4 linked regions of the Mus musculus genome follow. The protein of the gene in region 2 interacts with the protein of the main gene of each other region in a pairwise test. Links are inferred from orthologs where the notes say so. Each region holds a gene or a part of one and is shown on either strand. Other genes may lie near its edges.

Region 1 (5,924 bases), on a different chromosome or scaffold from region 2:
AGACACTTCTCTTGGTCAAGATTAGATTTGAACAAAACAAAACAAAACAACTAACCAAACAAAACCAGAGTACGTGGGATAATGAGCCCCAGCCAGAATTCAGCATCTTTGCAACGTTTATTTCCCTACTTGCTTCCTGGAGCACAGTTTGGAGAAGTCAGGACGGTAGGCTATGTGACAAACAGTGGGGCTGCACATACAGCCTGCAATGAATGGAGGACGGAGCAGAAGGCTGGCATGGAGTGAAAGCAGGAAGCTTTCCTCAGCATGAACACATCTTCTCAGGTGACAGAAAGAATGACCTTGGCAGTGTCATGGCCTGCAAGTGTTTGTATTACCAGGGAGTAAGCCCAGAGCCCAGAGATCAGACAGCAAGACTGGCCACTCTCTCAGTGCCACCAGAGTTAGGATAGAACAAGCACTTGGTAGAATCAGTGGTACCTGTTAGCACTTAGCATTAACGATACCTGACCCAGTGGATTCCATTTCAGCACCCTAACTTGTCCTCTGAGTGGGAGGCCACCCAAATGGTCTCACTGGTTCCAATGGTCCTGGAATACAAGGAACCCAAATCCAAGAAGTCCACTAACCTCTCTGGTAAACTGAAATGGCTTGTTAGGAACTCTGCTCAATTAACTTTTTAAAAATAATAGCTTGGTGGATGAGAAGAGTTTGATTTCTTTAAAGGAACAATCGCAGTTCACAGCTGAAGTACAGAGAACAAGAGTATTGTTAGACAGATCCTAAGACCACGAACTTACGCTTGTATCCTCCCGCAATGCCAGACTGTGTTAGGCATCTCTGCAATTCGTCAGCATCAATTTGTCCGTCCTTTAAAAAAATACAAACAAAAACCAGGAAAGGAAATCAGGGTGGTGACTTGCACTTTCAAGCCATTAAGCAGCATTTAACAAGAGAAAATAATTATATGTAGCATTTCTTTAAAGGAATGCCTTTCAAAATTCTTCTTATTCTAATTCCAAAAATAATTCAATGGTGAGAGAATAACTGTCATGACAACAGTCTGCATTCAGTTTGAGCCAAGGAACTATCAAAATCAATCATTTTAAAATTAGTTAACAGAATTGTTTAAAAACATATCCCTCCAACCCTTTTTTTTGAAAGAGGGGGGAAGTAGGGTATATCACAGAGTTGTAGGCATCAGTAAATACAAGGCCTGGTCCAAGGAGAAAGAGGCTCTTGGACCAGTTTGACTCAGCAAACAGGGTCTTCCAAGCACAATTATATAGAAAAGATACAGGGTACCAATACCTACTTACTGGTTGACTGAGGTCAGAATAAGACACATGACATTTTTATGGATTTTAAATAAAATATATAAATCCAAGTTGGTGAGACTCATTAAGTTATAATTAGGAACAAGATCAATAATTTGCAAGAAGATGAATGTGTGGACTAGAGGCCAGCACTGCTGAAAGTCAAGCAGGTGGAGTCACTTACATGCTGAAGACACTGGCAATCTAAGAATGCTTGTCTTGAGGTGTGCTATGTCTTGTGGTTTCAAAAACACGGATCGATAACATATTAAGTAGACACTCGAGAGGAAAGTCTCCCAGTCTTCGACTCAATTTTCCATTCAAATTCTCCGAGCTCTGTTTCTTAGAGTACCACTTCTTCCAAGGTGGCCGTAGAAGTTTGCTTAGCATATTCTAGAGCATATCTGTTTGTTTGTTTGTTTGTTTGTTTGCTTGTTTTTTCAAATCATCATTTCCTTCTTTTGGGCTCTTGTTTAAAACAAGTCTAAGGTGACTAAGAAGGGAGGTCCCCTCTGGACACATCTGGATTATGTCCACAGAACACTTACAAACACACAGTGACCTTGCAACCTAGGAACATGTCCTTCCCCACAATAGCCATAGGCATCGGTCATAACTCTCGGAGGGAGGAAGTAGGTCTTAGGACTTGGGACTAGCTGACCTGCATTCCCTCCGTGGGTCATCTGGCCACATCACCTAATAAGGACATGGAGCGCTAGCTCCAGAGAGCACCTGCCCCTGGGTGGAGGCTACCTTCCGAATACTGATAGCAACTCTTGTGCTTGGAAGCCGATGCTTCTTTACAGCTCTTCTCTACTTCCTTTGTGGGTAAATGATTAATTATCGAATTCAACTGAAAGTAGCTAACTATCATAATTGGGCCATAAAATAATTAATTACTAATATTTGTCTTTAGGTTAGGCAAGCAGAGGTTTTATGTTCAGATCTTGAATTTCTTCTCTGTAAGCAGCCCTTGTTCTATCCTGACAATACAAGTGAGGAGGTATACACTTTGTAGATCTTCAAAGTATATTTATATTCCCCCTTTGGGTCAGTCTAATCCCAGTCCAATCACAAGCTTTGAACTGATCTATTATTGATACAGGCAATACTCTGTCCAAATTTGTCCAGATCTAAAATAAAGACTGTTTTAGTCTTCCTTTCCTTTTACCTTCTTTCAGGCAAAGGGACTCATTTCCAGAGCAAAGACTGTTTTTGTGCCACTGCACTAAATGCTAACACAAACAGAACATAACAATTCTTCAGTATTGAAGGAAAGGCTAACCTGTCCAGCCACAGCAGCAAAGTAACCATATAGCGGATCCTGAGTTTGTCCAGGGAACGCAGGCCCTCCGGGAGCCCCACCATACTGTGAAAAAGAAAAGAAAAAAAAAAAAGGTAAAGGCATCAGAGAGAATTGAATTTATCTTAACCATCCAAGGCTTTTGTACAATTGACGCCTGTGCGACCTTCACAGTCTCTATCTTCCCCACCACCTTGACTCAGCTCAGTGACCCACCAGGCTTGTCCACTCCTGCTCCTGACATCTAAAAGCTGGAGACTTGGTCCAAAACAAGTTTCATGAGAGTGATGGCCACTAAACGCAGACCCACTTTAAAAATCCCTATTAACCAGCTTACAGAGGTCAGTGCACCGGAAGCAACCTGGTGGCTAGGCTTAGGACTGTTTTCCTGTTGGTTTTTACAGCCTTTGCGGTGTTTTTGAAGTACTTGAAGTACTAAGTAAGGCTGGAGTTAGTACAGGGCTGACAGGTGTGGCTTGGGAAGAACAGGGATGGCCGGCCCGGTTATATCTAAAATGAGGGTCCCTCTGTCTCTGACAGTACACCTCCCACATCTGCCTAAGTGGTCTTCCTCTAGGACTTCAGCTCATTTCTCCAGACTTTCTGGTCTCCCTGTCACTTTCTTTTCAAGGGAGTGACCACAGAACCATTCTAGATCAAGATGGCTGTTGTTGCTTTGGGGACATTCCGAGAGAGCAGGAAGTCAACACCAACTTGCACTATCTCACGCCACATATCCGAGTTACAGAATGGGCTTCCTGGGTCGCAGCCCACCCACCGGTGGGCCCTGGAAAGGCCCTTGGAAGAGATGGGGAAGAAAAATGGAGCCAAGGCTGGACATCAGGGTCCAGGCGAGCTCGCAGGGAGCATCTGGGACCGCCCGCGACGCCTCCTCCCGCTCGTCCGTGGCGCCTTCCAGTCTCGGGAGACCAGAGGCTGCTGTGCCCTCGTCCGCTGCACTTACCCCGCCTGGGTAGTACCCTCCGCCCGCGCCAGGGTGCCCGGGATACGCCATGGTGCAGACTGCGCCTCCGCCCTGCCTGTCTGCTGCTCCGCCCGTCCGGCCCAGAGCCGCCCCGGAGCGCACCACGCCGCCCCGCGGGGGCCGCCGCTCGCCGCCACCCACCCCGATCGCCCCGCGGCATCCCGAGTGCCGCCCGTTCCCTGCTGCCTCTGTGCTGTGTCAGCGCCGTCTGCGACCCACACTCGGGCGATGACCCAGGACCCCAGACGAGTTTATATCAGGACCCATTCTCCCTCTCGACCTAGTGGCACATTCCGACATCCACGCACAGCTAGGGGAGGGTTTTTTCCCCCCTTCTTCCTACTGTGCTATTTTGTAGAACATTTACTATTTACACCGGGTTGTTGGGTAGAGAGGACGGGATAAGAACGCTATGCACAACTGTAGGGAAGGGGAGAACAATTCCAGTGGGCGAAGGAGACACTTTACAAAATAGGAAAAAAAAAACTTTGAAAACCTGATGAAAACTTCTGAACCATGCAAGTGGGCTTTTAGCTTTGACTGAGGGTGGCCTGTTTCTTTGCCAACCGTTTAAGCTGAGTGTAGCTCAGGTGCGATTGCTAGGCGTGGGTGTGTGGGGTGGGGTAGAAGAGGGCAGTTTCTAGGCAGGACAGCCTCACCCAGGTCATTCATAGGAAAGTGAATTGTTTAATTTTCTGGATGATTCGAATAGAAACAACCCCAGTGGTGAAGCTTCCTGGAAAGGATGTGAAACTCACGTGGGTTGTTCAGATGTTTCACGGCTTCTTTTTTGTTTTTTGGTGCAATTGCAACAAGAGGTAATTGTTTGCTGGCTCCGGACTGTTAAGGACTGAACAGTGTTGGTTGGTCGATGTTTTGTTTGTTTGCTTTTGACTGTTTGCTCTTACTCTTTCCTTTTGAGATCCAGGTTCTCAGGGTAGCCTCTCATGGCCTCAGCCCCAGATGAGAGTCACCAACGGTTGCCTGCTTTATTGTTATTATTATTATTGTTGTTGTTGTTATTATTAATTTATTTTTATTTTTAATGACGAAACAAAAATATACCTAAAAGCGAAGCTTCTGGAAAAACCATTTGTTCATCCCTGTCTTGTATCGCTCCTCAAACTTGACCTTGGCCTCCCGCCTGACCTTGCGTTTGTTTCAAAGCTGGGTCCCTGAACACATCCTTGTTGACAACAGTCTTGTTCAAGGGGATATCCACAGAGTACCTTGTGGGCATGAGGTGGTTGTAGTTATAAACTTTCACAAAGGACTTGATCTTGGATCGCTTGGCGATTTTCTTCTTGCCCATGGCAGCTGTCACTTTTTGGGGATAGCGGTCAATTCCAGCCACCAGGGCATGGCTGTAAGGGCGGTCCAAGAAGCCATGGTCAATGTTCTTCACGATGACGGCTTTGCGACCGGAGTAGCATCCGGCCAGGACCAGCAACACTTTCCCGGGTTTCATGAACTTGCCCATCTTGACAGCAGGCAGCGGTACCCAGCAGAAAGGAAAGGAGGGCACTTCCGCTCTTGGTTTTGTTTTTAACATTTTGAGAAACACTTTAATGAACAAGACTGACCATAGTGTGTGACCAAGTTCTCTTTGGATACATAAGCTCCAAAACAGAAAGTTCTAAATAGCGAGAAACAATTCCAATAGTCCTTGTGATCACGTAGCAAAGGTGTAGCCTGTTTTACGTCTGCTTCTGGAGATAAAATTACTGTTCTCAAATACCATGGTCTTTGATTAGGCATTCTGAGGTTTTGTCCTGTAGTTTGGAACTTTAATCGGCTAGGTGAACAGGGCTCAACTCACACTTGAATTTAAGCTCTTTCAGGACTCGAGTTTGAAAATATCACAAAAAATATGTGTCACCAATAAAGCATTTGTGACTAATGCAGGCTTCATTTTATGGATAAGCGACTACATTAATTGTCACATTAGGAGACATTAGACTCTGGTTACTCCTCCCTTAAGAAGTGAATTTTAATGGAGGGCTGTAAATGAAATCCTTACAGCGATTGCCAACAAATTAATGATGAAAACAAAGATAAATTACACACACACACACAGTAATTAATGAGTGTCAGACCTTCATAAACTTTGCCTATTTGTGTAGTCCTCACAAAGACCTGTGAGATAGGCGCTTTTGTTATGCAGTTTTATGCAGTTGAGAAACGAGAGCTGAGACAAGACAAAGAAAGGAGGATATGAATTCAGAGCTGGGCTATGGTGCTAGGTACTCTAGCTCCGCCCCCGGGGTGGGGGTGGAGGTGGGGATGGGGGAGAAAATGTCCAGATAGTAAATATTTTCCATCACATGCTCCCTATAGCAACTTCTTGGCTCTCATAGCC
Region 2 (5,303 bases):
ACAGGGCAGCCTTACTGCAGAGTTTAACCTTACCCTTCATTCCAAAGGGCCAAGATATACTTTTTCACAAGGTCGATGATATTGTCTAGCCAGACCCAGAAGGAGAAGCCCTTGCCAGCCATGTTTTCCTGGAGAAAAGAATGGGAAAGCAAGTCCACCACCACTCACCCCAGCTCTTTCCTGCCAGAGCCTTCTTACACCCTCAGGTTCCTCTATCCTCAGGCAGCTCCTGACAGCTGCTGGAGAAAGGGGTCCTGGGCACCCCACACCTACCTCCTAACTGAGGGAATCAACAGGATCACTTACTTTGCAGAATTTAGCCCATGTGATCTGACACCCTGAGTAGTTCACACCAGGCCCTGGAAGAGAAAACAACAACCGGATTTCAGCCTTGGCCAAAGCTATTTCTTAAGCAGAATTTACAAAAAGGCCATGCATTTGTACATGTACTTACAGGGTGTGTGCCACACATGCCCACACACACCCAAGCCCAACAGCTGTCCCTAGATTAGGCCAGCACAGATGTCCTGTTGGACCCCTGCTTGTCCTTGCCTTGTGTGGTCTGAGAACTGGCAACACACAGTGACAAAGCTGGCAGCTGGGGTCAGGAGCCTTTTTTTTTTTTTTTTTGTAGGAGCACAGGTCAAAGTTACTTTCAGTCCAGATATTTTTTTAAAGGGGAGAAAAAATTTAAAACTATTGTCTTTGGCTTTTTAAAGAAAGAAACATGCTCTTCAAACACACTTAGCAACCTGGTCCTGGCATGGTGCCTTGCCCTAGGCTGACATGGGGACCCCGACTGAATGACCACCCCCCAGGCCAGACATGTCTGAAGCTGTCAACCTAGGAGCTTCTCAGCCAGCGTTGTCAGCTGCTCGATGCTCAGCCCCCGCTTGGTGGTGGACGAGAACTGCCAGCTGAGCACCTCGGCCACTTGGTCCCAGGTTCCAATTGGCGGCTTAGTGAAGAAGTTCACGTTCTATTGAAAAGAACACATTTGTTCACTTGGATGAGAGAGTGACACTGACAGCCTGCACCCACTTGGATGAGAGAGTGACACTGACAGCCTGCACCCACTTGGATGAGAGAGTGACACTGACAGCCTGCACCCACTTGGATGAGAGAGTGACACTGACAGCCTGCACCGGGGGTGGAGAAGCAGCAAGGTTCAGGGATTTCAGAGAGGGTTGGGGGTGGGAAACTCACCTTGGGGTTATTGGTCAGCATGTTATACCACAGGATTGATGCCCAAGCATTTGGCATCTGACAGATGTTGGAGATCACCACAACTGGCAAGGAGTGGGTCTGTAGAGTATGGGGACAGGCGGTGAATGACTTAGTGGGACAGCTGGGCTCTCACAGCTCCCAACCCTTGTCACCCGCATCTCAATAAGTTAGAATTAAAAATCACACCATGGCCACCCCTCACGGCAAGTGCAGGCTGGAGCAAGAACACCAAGAGGAGAAAGACCAGCCTGCATCAGGACCAGCCTGCATCAGGACCAGCCTGCATCAGGACCAGCCTGCATCAGCACTGATGTCTGAACATCATCAGTGACTTGTTCAAAGTCAGGCCCTAAAAACTAACACTAGGGCTGGAGAGATGGCTCAGCAGTTATGAGCACTGACTGCTCTTCCGAAGGTCCCGAGTTCAAATCCCAGCAACCACACGGTGGCTCACAACCATCCATAAAAAAGATATGACTCCCTCTTCTGGAGTGTCTGAAGACAGCCACAGTGCACTCATAATAAATAAATAAACAAACAAACCTTTAAAAACAAACAAACAAACAACTAACACTAACCCAAACACTAAGGCTAACCCAGGCCCTCAGCCCGACTCTCCAGAGACAGACCTGGAAGGCAACCTCCAAACAACCTGCATCTTTCCATGAAGCTGAGGTGTTAGAAATCAAACCTAAGGATGTCTGCTTTTCCAGGTCTAAACTTAATAAGATCAAGAAAGATGGAAAACAGGGGCTGGAGAGATGGCCTATCAGTTAAGAGCACTGACTATTCTTCCTGAGGTCCTGAGTTCAATTCCCAGCAACCACATGGTGGCTTTACAACCATCTGTGATGGAATCTAATTCCCTCTTCTGGTGTGTCTGAAGAGAGTAATGGTGTACTCACATACATAAAATAAATAAATCTTTAAGGAAGGAAGGAAGGAAACAAGCAAGCAAGCAAGCAGGAAAATAAAATCTAAATGGCGGCTACTAAGACCCACTTGCCCAAACTTCATCAAATCGATTCTAAACAATCACTAATATAGATTTTCATAACAGGTACTCAAGCAAGACTTTACTCTTGGGGACAGGGTGGCTCTCAGGGACGTTTCTGAGATAGATAATGAGAAACAAATCCAGGCTGGGCAGACAGCCATCATCCCGGCAGGCGTTCTGTCCTGGCCTCCCTGCACACGCACCCCCGCACACGAGCCGCCTGGTTCTGGGAAGGCCTCACCTCTAGGTCAATCTTGAGGCCTTGGTGGTACACCTCAGTCTCGAAGGTGATCAGGTGCAGCTCCTCAGTCACGATCAAGGAGGCCTGCAACAGCATAAGGTCTCTCAGAGACACTGGCAGGGACACAACTCTGCCCTCTTTCTTCCACCCAAAGACCCAAGGACATGATCCTCACATATGCACTACATAGTACATAACCATATCTTACAATACACATTCAAGGCACGAAGAATAACAAAGCAATGAGCATCCAAGGATAAGCCACCCAGCTTACGTCCTTATTTGAGGGCCAGCAAGATGGCTCAGTGGGCAAGGGCATCTGCCTGCCAACCCGAGCCTCATCCCTGGGACCCACTTGGTGGAAGAAGAAACAAGTCCTTCAAGTGGCAACTTGACCTTCACATTCACACCATCGCACATGTGCGACCATACACAAACACAGACACACAGGAAGGAAGGAAGGAAGGAAGGAAGGAAGGAAGGAAGGAAGGGAGGGAGGGAGGGAGGGAGGGAGGGAGGGAGGGAGGGAGGGAGGGAGGGAGGGAGGGAGGAAGGGAGGATGGGAGGGAGGAGGGAGGGAGAAGGAGGGAGGGGAGAGAAAGAGGAAGGAGGAAGGAAGGGAGGGAGGAAGAGGGAAGGGAGGGGAGGGAGGGGAGAGAGAGGAAGGGAGGGAGAGGGAGGAGAGAGGGAGAGGGAGGGAGAGGGAGGAGGGAGGGAGAGGGAGGAGAGAGGAAAGGAGGGAGGGAGAAAGGGAAGGAAGGAGGGGAGAATAGGAAGGAATAAAGGAAGGCTTCTTAGGTTTCTTCTCTCTCTCCCTCCTTCCTTTTATATGCACTAGGGAGCAAACTCAGGGTCTCATGCATCTAAGTGCACCCCAACACTGAGCGATAGCCTAGCATTATCATCCCGCATAAGTTGCCATTATCACCGAGATTCCCCAGGTGAATCCCCCTTCTCTGCACTTTACTGTGTCTTTGTCTCTGCTGTCTCCCAGCTCCTCCCAACCGTGTTCATGGTTGTTTCTCCAAGCATGTGTACTTCACACAGTGAACTGCACTCTCAGTGTGTTCCTGCTCCTGACACCCCACCCCCACCTTGATGAGGGTCTGTGGTCCCGTGCAGGTCCCAGTTCCTCTTTCAGAGCTGTAGAGTACTCCACTGCCTACACCACAGCTCATGACCCCAGTGCTGAGAGATCTGAGCTGTGTCAATGACCAATGGCTGTGACTGTGTTATCTGTCCTTAGTTCACCTATGCAAAGCTTTCTTTACTGTTAATTCCTAAGACTGGAACTGCCGGTTTACAGGGTGTGCTCATTTTTATGCCAAGTCACTTTCTAAAGTGACTGTGATAACCTTCAGTGCCACACAAGCAGTCAAGCAATGTGGCTACCTGTGGTCATGAGCTGTGGTGTAGGCAGCAGAATACTCTACAGCTCTGAAAGAGGAACTGGGACCTGCACGGGACCACAGACCCTCATCAATTAGTACACAAATTACTGATGAATTCTCAGGAATGAATTTCCAGCTCTTTTACATGTATGTGCTGAATGACAGAATGATCTCAAACTCACAATTCCCCTGCCTCAGCTCCTGAGCACAGTTTGGTTGGTGGTTTTTTTTTGTTTGTTTTGTTTTGTTGTTGTTTTTTTTTCTGTTTAGCTCTGACTGGCTGACTTGATGTCTTCCTTTTGTCTCACCAGGCACTGAAAAGGGAGCCAGCTGGCAGGTAGTAGCAAGGGACTCTGGGAAGCCCCGGGCAATGTGGAAACTTCTTTTCTACCAGATGGGTGTGGGTAACAGCTTGGCGAGGGACTTCCCACTGCTGAAAGGGAGCCAACTCCCCAACACTCAGGGAAATGTTTCTCGCTAGAAAACTCCACAGCACCTGTGACTTCTGAGCATGTCACCCTGGCCCAGAGCGACCAACTTTTCTAAAGGACAAACATCTGAAGTAGTGGGTTAAAGTTTTAATTCTGGGTTGGAGAGAGGGAGAGAGGGAGAGAGGGAGAGAGAGAGAGAGAGAGAGAGAGAGAGAGAGAGAGAGAGAGAGAGAGAGCGAGAGAGCTTTCTCTTTCTTCCTCAAAGAAAGAAAACAATTGCTTTTAGCCCGAACAAAACTTACTTACATCACAATTGGCACGGCCTCCATTCCCACATCTCTGCTCCCTAAGGGTCTGGAAGAAAGGAAGAAGAAGGAGGCAAGTGTCACTTGAGGCTGTGCCAGTCTCTCCCCCCTCCTCTGCCACCTGGCCTGTGCCGCCTCCTCTCCCCTCGGACACCGACCAGGTGCTTGAACTCTGCAGACAGGCTGCCGTTGTTAGACTCCTCCATGTTCATCACTTTTGTGTTCGTGCCCAGAATGTTAAATTTCCGAGACCTAAATCATGGGAGAAAAACCAACACACAGTGAGCGCTGAGTAGCCAGAGGGTAAAGTTGGATGAGAAAGAACAAAAGGAGGCCCAACTTACCCTCTGAGGGCAGCAACATCCCCAGAGTCTCTGTAAAGAACACAGACAAGGGTTAATAAAAGCTGAGATTAGAGCCCCTCTTTCTTTCCAGAACCTACTCTGATGGAACATGCCTTTCGATGCTCAGTTACATTTTCGGTGTGAAACACAACTCTGTATGCACTTAAACAGTAGCCTTAGCTGGGGGCCTAACCACAGCTTCTTTCCCTTCCTAAGGAAAGCTCCATTCTCTCAGTAAGGGATGGCAGAGCCATCTATCTCCAGGGAACCCCGATCACTGCATTCATCAGAACAGAGGAAGCCACAGAGCAGGTGAAGACGGGGTCTGCCTTGTCTGTTTTGTCGGCTTTCCGAGACAGCGCTCTGT
Region 3 (6,058 bases), on a different chromosome or scaffold from region 2:
GTCATGATGCACACCTTTTAATCCTAGCACTCAGGAGACAGAAGTAAGCAGATCTCTGTGAGTTAGAGGCAGCCTGGTCTACAGAGTGAGTTCCAGGACATCCAAGGCTACATAGAAGAACCCTATCTTGGAAAACAAAAACAAAGCAACACAACCAACAAAGAAAAAACCCAAACACTCATTTGAAACTGTAAATACAGCTAGCTATTGTAGACCATTCTTGGAACTGTATGGAACACCAAGTCACACTGGTAATGTGTTGGAGTTGGCATTTGAATTCTGGTCACTTAGCTCTAAAGTCCACATTATTGACCAGGATACCAGTGACAGAAAAGAACATGGTCACTGTGTGACCTAAACCTGAGAAGACTAACTTAAACACAAGAAAGCAGCCATAGAGTGTGAAAGCTTGGAGTAACTTTTTACTAAAGATATTCTGAACCCTAACGTTCTAAGCAACTTTGCTAAAACGACAAAGCAGTGATCTAATAGCTCAGGGAGCTAGATTCAGCTGTCTTACCTTAGATGCATTCATACTATGGCACTGGACATACTCAAATAACTGGGCATGGTGGCACATGCCTTTAATCCCAGTACTTAGGAAGCAGAGGCAGGAGGGTCTTTATGAAATCAAGGCCAGCCTGGTCTACATTCTGAGGTCCAGACCAGCCAAGACTACACAGTGAGATCCTGTATCAAAGAGGGGGAAACACACACAGACACACACAGACAGACACACACACACATACATACACACAAACATACACATACACACAGAGAGAGACAGAGAGGCAGAGAGGCAAAGAGGCAGACAGAGAGTTGCAGAGAAACTCACATATGAGAGCGATTTCTATGTTCAACCAAAGCTACTTCCACCTTAATAAGGCACACTGTTGAGGGAACTAGACATAAATGTGGATCTAATATGACCTGTGCAAGGAACATTTACCAGCGAACTCTCAGAAAGATGTGACTTTGAAATAATCATTCAGTGGAATGCCTCAATACATTGTTAGACAGCAAAACTCCAGGCTAGGGTACAGAATGAAGGTAAAGAATGGTTGTCAATCATGTATGTACAAGGCCCCGTATTTTATCTCTGGTTTCAGAAACACAGACACTATAGATGAATTATAATGCATATTTTGAATAGTGCTAAAAATATTCAGCCTTAAAAGTGGGAGTAAATGGCAGGTAGTGAAGGAGGTGGGAGCTGGAGACAGGAGAGAGATGGGGTGTACTTAAATTGGTCCAGTCTGGCAATGGAAACCTCTTCCCTGAATAGTTCAAGATGTTCTTTAGAAGGGATAGTGGAGGCAACACTTTCTAACCCTTTTCTTGTTTTGTTGTCTTCTTTTACATGTCGTTTAGCTGTAGATTTTGATTAACTGGTGCTAAAATATAAAGTGATAAATGTATTGGATAGGCAGGAAGACGAGTCAGGAGAAGGGAGGTACTCCACATGAAGATTGGGCAGGGGTCTGAAAAAGAAATTGGAGAGTCCTTTGACAACTTAAATAGTCAAGTATTTGTCCAAAGTTGGTCCTGTTTATTCTGCTAAACAACTGAACATAACACAATGGTAAGCTTAAGCAAGAACAAGAAGTACAATTCAGAATCAGTCAAAGTTGCTGAACAAAGCCCCTGGTACTGGCTTTCAGCTCTGTAGACCCAACAAGTCCCTATTTCACACGACACGGTGCAGGTCAGAGAGTTACAGTTGATCTTGGCATGAGACAGACAGAAAAACTAATGTCAACACTCACATCCTTAACATTTTGGAAGACCAAATGTTGACTGCTCTGAGATAAGCTTATGAAAACAAGGCAAACTTTATTCTCACCAAGAGAAAATTCCAGTGCTACCTCTGTCTGAGATCACATTGGCTTCGCACATAAGATTCATCTTCTGTGCCTTCTGGAGAGTTTCTGAGCCACCTTCTCTTATTTTGAGCAACCTCTTCCTTTTTGCCTCCCCTCCCCCTGGCCACTCCCTCTGGGCATCTTCATCAGAAAAATAAAAAGTGGTAAATCTATCAGTTAGCATTGGCTTAGCATCTATTACTCTCTAGATGTGGACTGGCATAGACAAGACCATCACATATGGATAGGTTCAAATCTTTCTTTGTCTCTCTGCAACTTGACATATTACCTAACCCTGCTAAACCTCAGCTTCCTCATCTGTAAACACGGTAAAAACAATAACTGCCTTGAAGGGTTTTGAGAAGTCATGAGAAAATGGCAGTGCCCTGACCAGCACCGTAGGAGATGAAGCTTCTCCACAGCACTCTATAGTTACATTGAAAAATAGTCTGAAGACAATGATGTGTGCCTCAAAGATAATTTTTCCTTTCTCACGCCCTGCCCCCAAGCTCTTTACATATTCTCAAGTCAATAAGCACCTGCTCCTTATGTTTGTAACCAGCTCTCTTGGGGACCAGTTACCTTCCAATCAGGGTGAATCAGCCAGTCTGCATGGTGTATCTGTACCACCACAAATACTTATCCAAACACATACTGGAAGTGACTCTAAGGGTGGTTCATGGTCCGATAGTACGATTACCTCCTGGAGCTGCTTCACCACTAAGATGTTCTAGCAAAGAAGCCCATACCTACACTCATGCAAGCAAGTGGGTAAAAACACAGTAGAAAGGAGACTTGTTCAGAGGAAGAACAGAGTCCAAGGGAGTGAGAGGAAGCGGGAAGAGCCGAACTAAATAAATACTTGATCAAAATATTTTTCATCCGGGCAAAATATTTAAACTTATCAAAGAGTAAATTAAAAAGGTAAAGAGCACAGCTGACTCTGGTGACTCATGCGAACACTAGAGCACTGACAGAAACTACAATTTATTTGCAGTATTTATTAAAATCCAGTGAAATCACTGTAGCTAGCAAGACCTCTTTAATTCTATGGTCGTGGGAACCAAATGCACCATTTGTCTCCCACGTCTCTCTTTCCATCATGAAACACTCTTAATTTCTGGTTTATGGAGAGTTCAGGAATGGAAAAGCAAACATTTGTAGCTGAAAAAGCATGATAAAAAAGATAAAGAAGGGAAGGTACATCTAAAAGCTCTTTGTTGTTGTTTGTTTGTTTCTTTGTTTTGCGAGCAGTTATAGAGACAGTGTGAAATGTCATTGCCACGGCAGTATGCGAAGAAGCACGCGGAGAAAATCAACAGAGGAAAGAGCACAAAGCTACATCCAGCTGGTCTCGCTAGGCACCTAATCAGGCAGCCTCTCAGAGTGAAAGTTTGAGCAAGGTGAATAATTCACAGTGAAACTATAGGGATTTAAACCTCTGGTCCCCAAATTACAAGCTCCCTTTCAAGTCCCAGGGGCAGCCCAACACCTCTGTATTCATAATTTTGTGGTTTTTTTTTTTCCTGAGATGGGCTTTCCAAAATTTAAAACCTCCAGGCACCACAACATCTGGGTCCAAACCTATTCTGTAAGATAATGACACTGCGTAGTCACAGGCCACTTAAACGCACCATTTGGGCTCCTTCTGTCTCCCTGGGGTCCACCACGGTGAAGCGAAGCTGCTCCTGCAAGAACGCAACCTCGGGCTGTCCTCTCTCCAGCAGCAGTGAATTGTATCACATTTTTTTTTCCCCTGGCTGTTGGGTCAGAAATGGCTGTACGACTCAGTGCCCCCAAAGCATTTATTGTCCTGCAGGGCCTTACACAATCCCACAGGAAACCACGCTCAACACTTAGCCAACACTTGTTGATGTGATTGAATGCAATGAACACGGAGACAAAAGCATATTTCAGAAAGGCTCTAATACTGATAACTGCGGCTCCTGCTTTTCCCAGGCAGCTCTTGGGGACATGTGATAACCCTGCCTTTGTTTCTAGAGCTTTGTGCTGGAAAAGACAAGAAAATATCTTGGTGAAACCCGACTTCTGACGCTGACTTCTCGCACAGAGGCCAGAGTCAGGAAATCATTAGGTAATGCCAAAGGGTACATAGAATAAGCAATGAAAACTTCAAACCAGCACTTGGACAAAGGAAGGCCGGAGAATAAGAACTACACCCCTGAAAGTGCACATACCCATGTGTGCAATAGTCAGTAAATATGGGACCCAATATAATGTCTCCTTCTGAAAATGGTCAAAAACTGGAATCAGCCAGCCAGCCTAGCACATTTCTTTTTCTGAGGCCAAACCTAGCTAACGAAACAAGCTGCAGGGAACTAGTGGCTGGTGGGACCTGGATCTACAGACACCTCTTCCACTGCTATACTCAAGCCTGCTATCAGAATACTGAAAGAATTCAACGACCAGCAGAAACTCTACCATCCGGGGCGTGCCTCAGCCTACAGGAAATGAGTTAATTTATGTCAAAGAAATGAGTCTAAAAATGGGAACAAGACTGGTTTTGCTAATGTATGCTGCAGCAATATCACCAAGAAAAAAATGTGACTGCCAGTTTTTATTGATAATGAACACATCTTGGTATTTGGCTATTCTCAACCACTATTTTCTCTAGTGTGTGCCGGCTGGTCATGTACAATAAAGCTAATGGAGTTACAAATATATCACTGATTCTTATCACTTATTATTTTATGTGTATGGATTTTTTTCCTGAGTGCGTGTCAGTGCAGTACATGCATACAGTGCCCTCAGAGGCCAGGAAAGGGTTTCAGATACCCCAACACCGGAGTTACGGACAGTGGATGCTGGGAATCAAACCTGGGTCCTCCAAATGAGCAGCCAATGCCCTTAACCTCTGAGATGTCTCTCTAGCACCTCTAATACCTTATTTTAGACTCATCTGTAGGGTGCAAGAAAATCAACCTTTTAGTATGCATTAACATACTGTATTCACTTATTAACTGGCGGGCATGTTAATGTATCTATAAGCATGTGTGATGTGATCATATGATGATGCCTTGTGTGTGTGCGATGGAGACTAAATCCCTCACCTTTCCAACAAGCACTCATTTGGGCAGAGGTAGGAATAGCATTGTTGCTAGTCTTTGAGTTGTTCAAATCATATTGAGAGTCTGCTGTGTGCTGATCATTCTGGTAGAGACTCAGGCTTAATAACCTGGTAAAGTGATTTAATTCTGCACTCCCCCCCCCCCGGTATGGTGTTATATGTGGTAACATGGTAGGTAGATTTTAGAATAAGAATAACTTAGAGGAGGGGAAGGAAGGGGTGGTATCACCATGGAAACACCTGGATACAATCTCCTGGGATTTCTATACCCCATTGGTGTGCCATTCAAAGGCAGCAAGGAGGAGTGGTTTTCTCTAAGTCAAAATGCCACAGATTTATTTCCTTCTTCTAGTGATTCTCTTCCCCTGCTATTCCTCCTGAAACTTTCTTTGGCTCTGTATTTTCCATGGTTTCAGTTAACTTCTAACTTTTAATTTTAATTACATGACTTAATTGACTCCAATTGTAGTCTTTATTATGTCCTTTGGCAGACAAGACCCTTTGGAACTTTCTGGACAGCTTGCTTGTGCAAGTCTTTAGTGAGCAACAGCCAAAGAGGCACACCAAGGGATGGGACTTTGTGATGTGACGAGGCTTGTTCCCTTACACTCATGGTCTTGAATCCACTACAATTGAAGCAATGAAAGGGAGAGGGTAAAAAGGGAGAAGAGAGAGGGAAGAGAAGAAAAAGGAAGGAGAGAGGGAGGGAGAGGGGAAGGGAGGAGAAGGGGAGGGAGGGAGGATCCTTCAGGTTGATGGCTAGCCTCTATCACTTTCAGCATTAGGGAGTTGATCTCTTTGAGGTCAAGACCAGCTTGGTCTAAATAGCAGTGAGACCCTGTCTCAAAACTTTTTGTTTGACTTATGTTTTATTTTTTAACTTTTGATAATTTTATACAAGCATGTAATGCATTTAATCATGCCCACCCCTCTCTTCCTTCTGCTCTTGCCGACTCCTTTTCCCCCAAACTAGCCCCCCTTCCTCTTTTTTTTCTGTGTAGGGAGTCACAGCTGCCTGGAGTTCACGATTGCAACAGCTGTGTCACATCCAGAAGACAGGGTCTCCTAGCCCTTATCTCCATCCTCTGACTCTCAGGATCTTTCTGGC
Region 4 (6,069 bases), on a different chromosome or scaffold from region 2:
CTGATCTTGGCCCAAGCCCAAGCCCATACTAGACAAATGATCTTCTACTAAACTACAGCCACAATACACATGCACATATACATAATACTTACATACATAGCACATACATACATGTACACATATACACACACAAATGCACGCATGTACATATATATACACAAACACACACCAGTACACCTACATATACACACATGTACATGCATACACAAAATACATATATACACAAACATGCATATGCATATACAATATATACCACATACATATAGATATATACATACACTACACCTATACACACATACACTTATACAAATGCCACTATAACCACACACAGATAAACACATATACACATACATGCATACACATATATATACATATATACACACCCCTACACACATATGCACATATACTTACACCTATGCACACATGCACACACACACCTATACCCACCTACACACATTTAATGGTTTGAAATAACCTTTGTCAAATGTGTGAGACATGGTGCACACTTGGAAGACAAAGGACAACTCTCAGGAGCTGGTACTTGAGGCCTCCTCCACAGGAGCGTCCTCCTTGCCACAGGAGTGCTGGGATTGCAGATGTGCCATTGCGTTTGGCCTTTTGTGTGTTCAGGGTTTAGAGCTCAGGTCGGCAGGCTTGCCCCTCATGTGCTCTACCCAATGACCATTAAACAACTGAGCACACAGGACTGCGGGGATGGCTCAGGGGTTAAGAGGGCATGTTGCTCTTGCTGATCACCTGAGTTAGCATTACAGAATGGACACGGACACGGCCAAGGGACAGCTGCCTATAACACATTTAGGGACCCCCCAAGACCTCCTCTGGCTTTGGAGGCACCTAAACTCATGTGCACGTACCCACATACTTTCTAGAAAACTAAACACATGCTCTAGTGCTCGATCAGCTTTTAGACGAAGGTGTATGACTCATATAATGACTGGTTGAAATCACGGGAGACTGAGAGGGAGACAAAACTGGGGGCAAGACAGCAGGACATCTTTGGATCTTTTTAACTGTGGCCATGTATGGCCATGAGGTTTCTTTTGTTTGTTTTCTTTTTTTTTTCTTCAAGACAGGGTTTCCCTGTGCAGCCTTGACTGTCCTAGAACTCACACTGTAGACCAAGCTGGCCTCAAATTCACAGAGATCCACCTGCCTCCACCTCCCAAGTGTTGGGGTTAAAGGCGTGTGCCAACCCCTCCCCCAGGTAGGGTTTCTTTCTTTGAAAACATGAACATGTTATCTATGCCCTGGATACAAGCCTGTGTGTGCGTATGAACATGTGTGCTGGAGTGTGTGCTTGTGTGTGTGTGTGTAGAGGACAACTTGTAGGAGTTGTGATGGAGCAGCCTGACTCCACCTTAAGTTCTGAAGCCATCTTATCATACTACCAAAATAAGTCCATTCCTCTTTTCTATAAAACTTAATTTGACCAGGTCTTGACCAACTTTCTGAATTTCGACAGGTTCCACACCCTATACCCTGATTTCAGTCTGATAGACGTTCTGCCAAATAATGCTGAAATGTTCGACCAAGTGCCTACATAACCCTTGAAAATGTCCATATTCTTGCAGTTTTGGGGGTTATATAAACCTCACCTCTTGTGTTCGATGCTGTTTTCTCATTTTGTATTTGTTTTGTTTTTTCGAGACAGGGTTTCTCTGTGTAGCCTTGGCTGTCCTGGAACTCACTCTGTAGACCAGGCTGGCCTCGAACTCAGAAATCCTCCTGCCTCTGCCTCCTAAATGCTGGGATTAAAGGTCTGTGCCACCACTGCCCGGCGATGCTGTTTTCTCAAAACCCCAGTTTAGCGAGATAGCCATCTCTGACAAAATTAAGCTTGCTTAATTTGACCAAAAATTGTTTAATCATTTCTACTCATCTTCAGTGGGATTAACAGTTGAGCCTCTCCTTCCACCATCACGCAGGTATTTATTTATGAATACAATATCACTATCTTCAGACACACCAGAAGAGGACAGCAGATCCCATTATAGATGGTTGTGATCCACCATGTGGTTGCTGGGAATTGAACTCGGGAGTTCTGGAAGAGCAGAAAACTAGCAGTTTGGCGGGAAAAGGGGGCTAGCGAGCGGCGGAAGTGATGTAGGGTTGCATGCGACGGAGATGGGGTGTGTGTGAAGAATGCTTGAGGATGGCCCCGGAAGTATCGTTTTGATTGGTTGTTTTCTTGAATACTGTCCTATCGGAAATTTGCCCTCAGTAAAGATGGCCGCGCATGCTTCCATTCCTTCTTGGGGCCGGGTGTTTTTCCTAAGCTTGGCCTTGATACCGAAAAAAAAAGGAGGGGACTCATGAGTTCTGATTGGCTGAAGGTAAATGTGTCCAGGGCGCTGATTGGCTGTCCCTTCGCGGGAAGGAGTTTGTGGCGCCAGTGCAAAGTAGCCAGAAGGCTGCCACGCCAGAGCGGCACAGAGTTCCCAAGTGTTCTTAGTTTTCGTGTCCGAGCGTCTTGGGCCGCTCTCTCCGGAGAACTGCGACCAGGATGTGGAATAGTAATGGCGGGCGTGGGGAGAGTCACGCGAGGGTGTTGGGAGTGGGCGAGTCTGGCGCAGGAAGGCCGGGACGGAGCGAGAGGCCCGAGGCGGGCTCGGCGGCGTTCGCGGGGTGGCAGGGGGATTGTCGCGGCTGGGGCGGTGGGGACAGCGGTCGCCAGGTATAGAGATGGGGAGCGCAGCGCAGACTCTGACGACGGTCGTTCCCCGCAGGCGGATTCGAAAGCTTCAGCAGCTCCACCTATGGCGGAGCAGGCGGCTACACGCAGTCCCCCGGTGGCTTCGGGTCGCCCACACCGTCGCAGGCGGAGAAGAAATCGGTACGTAGACTGACGGCTCCGTTCTCATTTGTGTCCTGGCCAGGAGGGAACGTGTTTTCGTGCGGGAGGGTGGCACACCCCAAGGTGTCAGAAGCTGTCCGTTACCTACCTTGTCTTTTGTATGGTCAAGTGGGGAACAGGGTTTTTATTATTTTATTGTTTGGCAAGCCTGCAGTGGTTCGCCCGGCCTCCATTTTCCTGGCCCTACCACTCGAAAGTATGCTTTAGTAGAGTTTAATATCGCTGTCCCCAGGGCACAAAAATCCCTGAAGAACAAGAGTCCACTGTGTTCAGAACAGGTTTGGGGTTGTTTCCTGTTGGTAACTGACAGGAAGGACACGCTAAGCCTTAATCTGCTGGGCTTTTTCTGCCTCGTACATATTCATTGTATGACCAAGTGTTTTGGAGGTGTTTGTAGCTCTGGCTGGCCTGGAACTCAGAGATCCACCTGCCTGTACACTGTAGTTGTCTTCAGACACACCAGAAGAGGGCATCAGATACCACTACAGATGGTTGTGAGCCACCGTATGGTTGCTGGGAATTGAACTCAGGACCTCTGGAAGAGCAGTCAGTGCTCTTAACCGCTGAGCCATCTCTCCAGCCCAAAAAGATCCTTTCTTAAAAAACAAACAAACTACATTGCTCGTAGGTGGCTTGAGAGGCAAGTGTCTTTGCTAGATGCTCCTCTGCCCACTCCATCTGACTCTCCTGTTAAGATGCCCAAAGATGAGCAGCTTGACGAAACTCACCAGGTTTTCTGCAGAGACTGCCATCTGGTTGCCAGAATATCTCCTAAAAGAAGCTATACTTCTAACTTCTTCCATTTTATCAAGAAACCTAGAGCATCTTCGTAGTCCTTTTTCTGCTTGTCATTTCTCAAGCCTTTTCACAAGGCCCTGTTGTCTCCGTGGTGTCCTGAACACTGCTCTTGCTATGTCTGGGATGTGCTCTTTCTACCCCTACCTCTCTGAGACAGTTGTTTTCTTGTTGTTGTTTTGTTTTGGGTGTCTGTGTGTGTGTGTGTGTGTGTGTGTGTGTGTGTGTGTGTATCCTTGGCTGTCCTGGAACTCACTCTATAGACCAGGCTGGCCTTGAACTCAAGAAGTCCACCTGCCTCTGCCTCCTGGGTGCTGAGATTAAAACCATTTGCCACCACTGCCTAGCCCTGGGATGCGTTCTTTTTTTTTTTTTTTTTTTTTTTTTTTTAAGATTTATTTATTTATTATATGTAAGTTCACTGCAGCTGTCTTCAGACACTCCAGAAGAGGGCATCAGATCTTGTTACAGATGGTTGTGAGCCACCATGTGGTTGCTGGGATTTGAACTCCGGACCTTCGGAAGAGCAGTCGGGTGCTCTTACCCACTGAGCCATCTCACCAGCCCCCACCTGGGATGCGTTCTAAAGACAGGCTATCCTATGTTGTCCTGACTCTAGTCTGACCTTTTCTTTGTGAACCCACAATAGGATACAAACATATATTCACCTGGAGGTCTAGCATCAGATCCCTGTGGGCTTGAATTCAAAAGTGTGGCATTCGCCGTGTATAGTAGCACACACTCTGAATCCTAGCACTTAGGAGGGAGAGGAAGATGAAACAAATGTTAACTTTCTGGCCCTGTTTTCTGTCTCTTTTTAAAGTAAGGAGAACTTGGTTTTGCAATTCCAGGAGTGTGGTATATTCAAGTGCTTGGCACATGGAAATATTAAATGAGTGATTGTTACTCTCTTGGGTTGACTGTGCGTACTTTTTCTTTTCAGAGAGTCCGAGCCCAGCATATTGTGCCCTGTACCATATCCCAGCTGCTTTCTGCTACTCTGACTGATGAAGTGTTCAGAATTGGAGATGTCGAGATTTCACAGGTCTGTAAGATTTTGTGGAAGAACCGTTTAGAGATAGGAAATATGAGGGGTGGGAAGATGTCTGCGCAAGCGTGAGGCCCAGTATCAGATCCGTATGCATGTACAAGGCCAGGCTCGCTTCCCCTGGGTCCTGTAACTACGAAGCTCAGAGACGGGAGGGTCCTAGGGCCTTGCTGGCTCCAGGTTCAGTGAGAGACTCTGTCTCAAGGGAATAAAAGCAATAGTGCTAGACCTGGACAGCCAATGTCCTCCAGCAAGGGCATTGCTCATCTGTCTGCTCATTTGTGCATACCCTTCACGCATATGCAAAGAAAAAGGAGTAAGACTTGCTTAATCGAAAAGTATGTAGCAAGTGACGTGCTCTGTGGGTGAAAGTGCTTGGGCCTTTAGCACAAGTCTGATTACCTGAGTTCAGCCTCCATATTCTACATTAGAAAAAGAACCAGCTCCCTAAAATAGCCTCTGACCCCTGGGCCATGGCACACATACACACAATGGTAAAATAACAATATTTTTGTGGAAAGTATTTTTTGTTTGTTTGTTTGTTTATTTATTTATTTTTCGAGACAGGGTTTCTCTGTATAGCCCTGGCTGTCCTGGAACTCACTCTGTAGACCAGGCTGGCCTTGAACTCAGAAATCCGCCTGCCTCTGCCTCCCAAGTGCTGGGATCAAAGGTGTGCGCCACCACCGCCCGGTGGAAAGTACTTTTTAAAGCTGGGCAGTGGTGGCTGACACCTTTAACCCCACCAATGCGAGGCAGAGGCAAGTGGACCTCTGAGTTCAAGGCCAGCCTGATCTATTATAGTTCCAGGACAGCCCGGCCTGCACAGTGAAACCGTATCTCCAAATAAACCAACAAACAAAAAGTAATTTTAAAAAAGAATATGAAGGTATTCTCCCTTGGAGCCTCTGTTACTTGTAGGAGTTGTTTCTCAGTTTTCCTGAATGAATATGATCTGTTCAGATAAATAAAAGTAAGTTTTAGACTGAACATGGCAGCTCACACCTATAATCTTGGCACCCAGGAGGCAGGCAGGAGGATTAATTACCACAAGTATGAGGCCAGTCCGGCCCATGAAACAAGTGAGACTATCTCAAAAAAAAAAGTTTATAAATTATTTGTGTGTATATGTGCATCTTGCTTTGATCCCCAGGGAAATCAGACTGTGTTTATTTCTTCCTCTATCCTAGGTCACTATTGTGGGGATAATCAGACATGCGGAGAAGGCTCCAACCAACATTGTTTACAAGATAGACGATATGACAGCTCCGCCCATGGATGTTCGTCAGTGGGTTGACACGGATGTGAGTGTCTTCTCTTGGGTCGAGGTGGGGCGACTTTGGGCTTTGGA

What was found.
Region 1: the proteins of Stat3 (region 2) and Sri interact in binary tests that used the Homo sapiens proteins (3 or more experiments, as listed by UniProt). The link is inferred for Mus musculus from reciprocal best matches to the Homo sapiens genes STAT3 and SRI.
Region 3: the proteins of Stat3 (region 2) and Bmx interact in binary tests that used the Homo sapiens proteins (3 or more experiments, as listed by UniProt). The link is inferred for Mus musculus from reciprocal best matches to the Homo sapiens genes STAT3 and BMX.
Region 4: the proteins of Stat3 (region 2) and Rpa2 interact in a two-hybrid assay, tested with the Homo sapiens proteins (2 studies listed by BioGRID and IntAct, with this or other methods). The link is inferred for Mus musculus from reciprocal best matches to the Homo sapiens genes STAT3 and RPA2.

The regions. Positions count from the first base shown.
Region 1 is NC_000071.6:8,054,260-8,060,183, reverse strand, and holds the start of Sri (sorcin), read right to left. Parts: upstream 3,643-5,924; 5' UTR 3,596-3,642; coding exon 3,545-3,595; intron 2,647-3,544; coding exon 2,563-2,646; intron 832-2,562; coding exon 762-831; intron 1-761. UniProt on the Homo sapiens protein: Calcium-binding protein that modulates excitation-contraction coupling in the heart. Contributes to calcium homeostasis in the heart sarcoplasmic reticulum. Modulates the activity of RYR2 calcium channels.
Region 2 is NC_000077.6:100,893,858-100,899,160, forward strand, and holds part of Stat3 (signal transducer and activator of transcription 3), read right to left. Parts: intron 4,967-5,303; coding exon 4,937-4,966; intron 4,845-4,936; coding exon 4,751-4,844; intron 4,642-4,750; coding exon 4,594-4,641; intron 2,550-4,593; coding exon 2,466-2,549; intron 1,306-2,465; coding exon 1,207-1,305; intron 980-1,206; coding exon 844-979; intron 360-843; coding exon 307-359; intron 129-306; coding exon 34-128; intron 1-33. UniProt on the Homo sapiens protein: Signal transducer and transcription activator that mediates cellular responses to interleukins, KITLG/SCF, LEP and other growth factors. Once activated, recruits coactivators, such as NCOA1 or MED1, to the promoter region of the target gene.
Region 3 is NC_000086.7:164,254,552-164,260,609, forward strand, and holds the start of Bmx (cytoplasmic tyrosine-protein kinase BMX), read right to left. Parts: upstream 3,643-6,058; 5' UTR 3,500-3,642; coding exon 3,497-3,499; intron 1-3,496. UniProt on the Homo sapiens protein: Non-receptor tyrosine kinase that plays central but diverse modulatory roles in various signaling processes involved in the regulation of actin reorganization, cell migration, cell proliferation and survival, cell adhesion, and apoptosis.
Region 4 is NC_000070.6:132,765,933-132,772,001, forward strand, and holds the start of Rpa2 (replication protein A 32 kDa subunit), read left to right. Parts: upstream 1-2,427; 5' UTR 2,428-2,524; coding exon 2,525-2,534; intron 2,535-2,747; coding exon 2,748-2,854; intron 2,855-4,613; coding exon 4,614-4,715; intron 4,716-5,908; coding exon 5,909-6,022; intron 6,023-6,069. UniProt on the Homo sapiens protein: As part of the heterotrimeric replication protein A complex (RPA/RP-A), binds and stabilizes single-stranded DNA intermediates that form during DNA replication or upon DNA stress.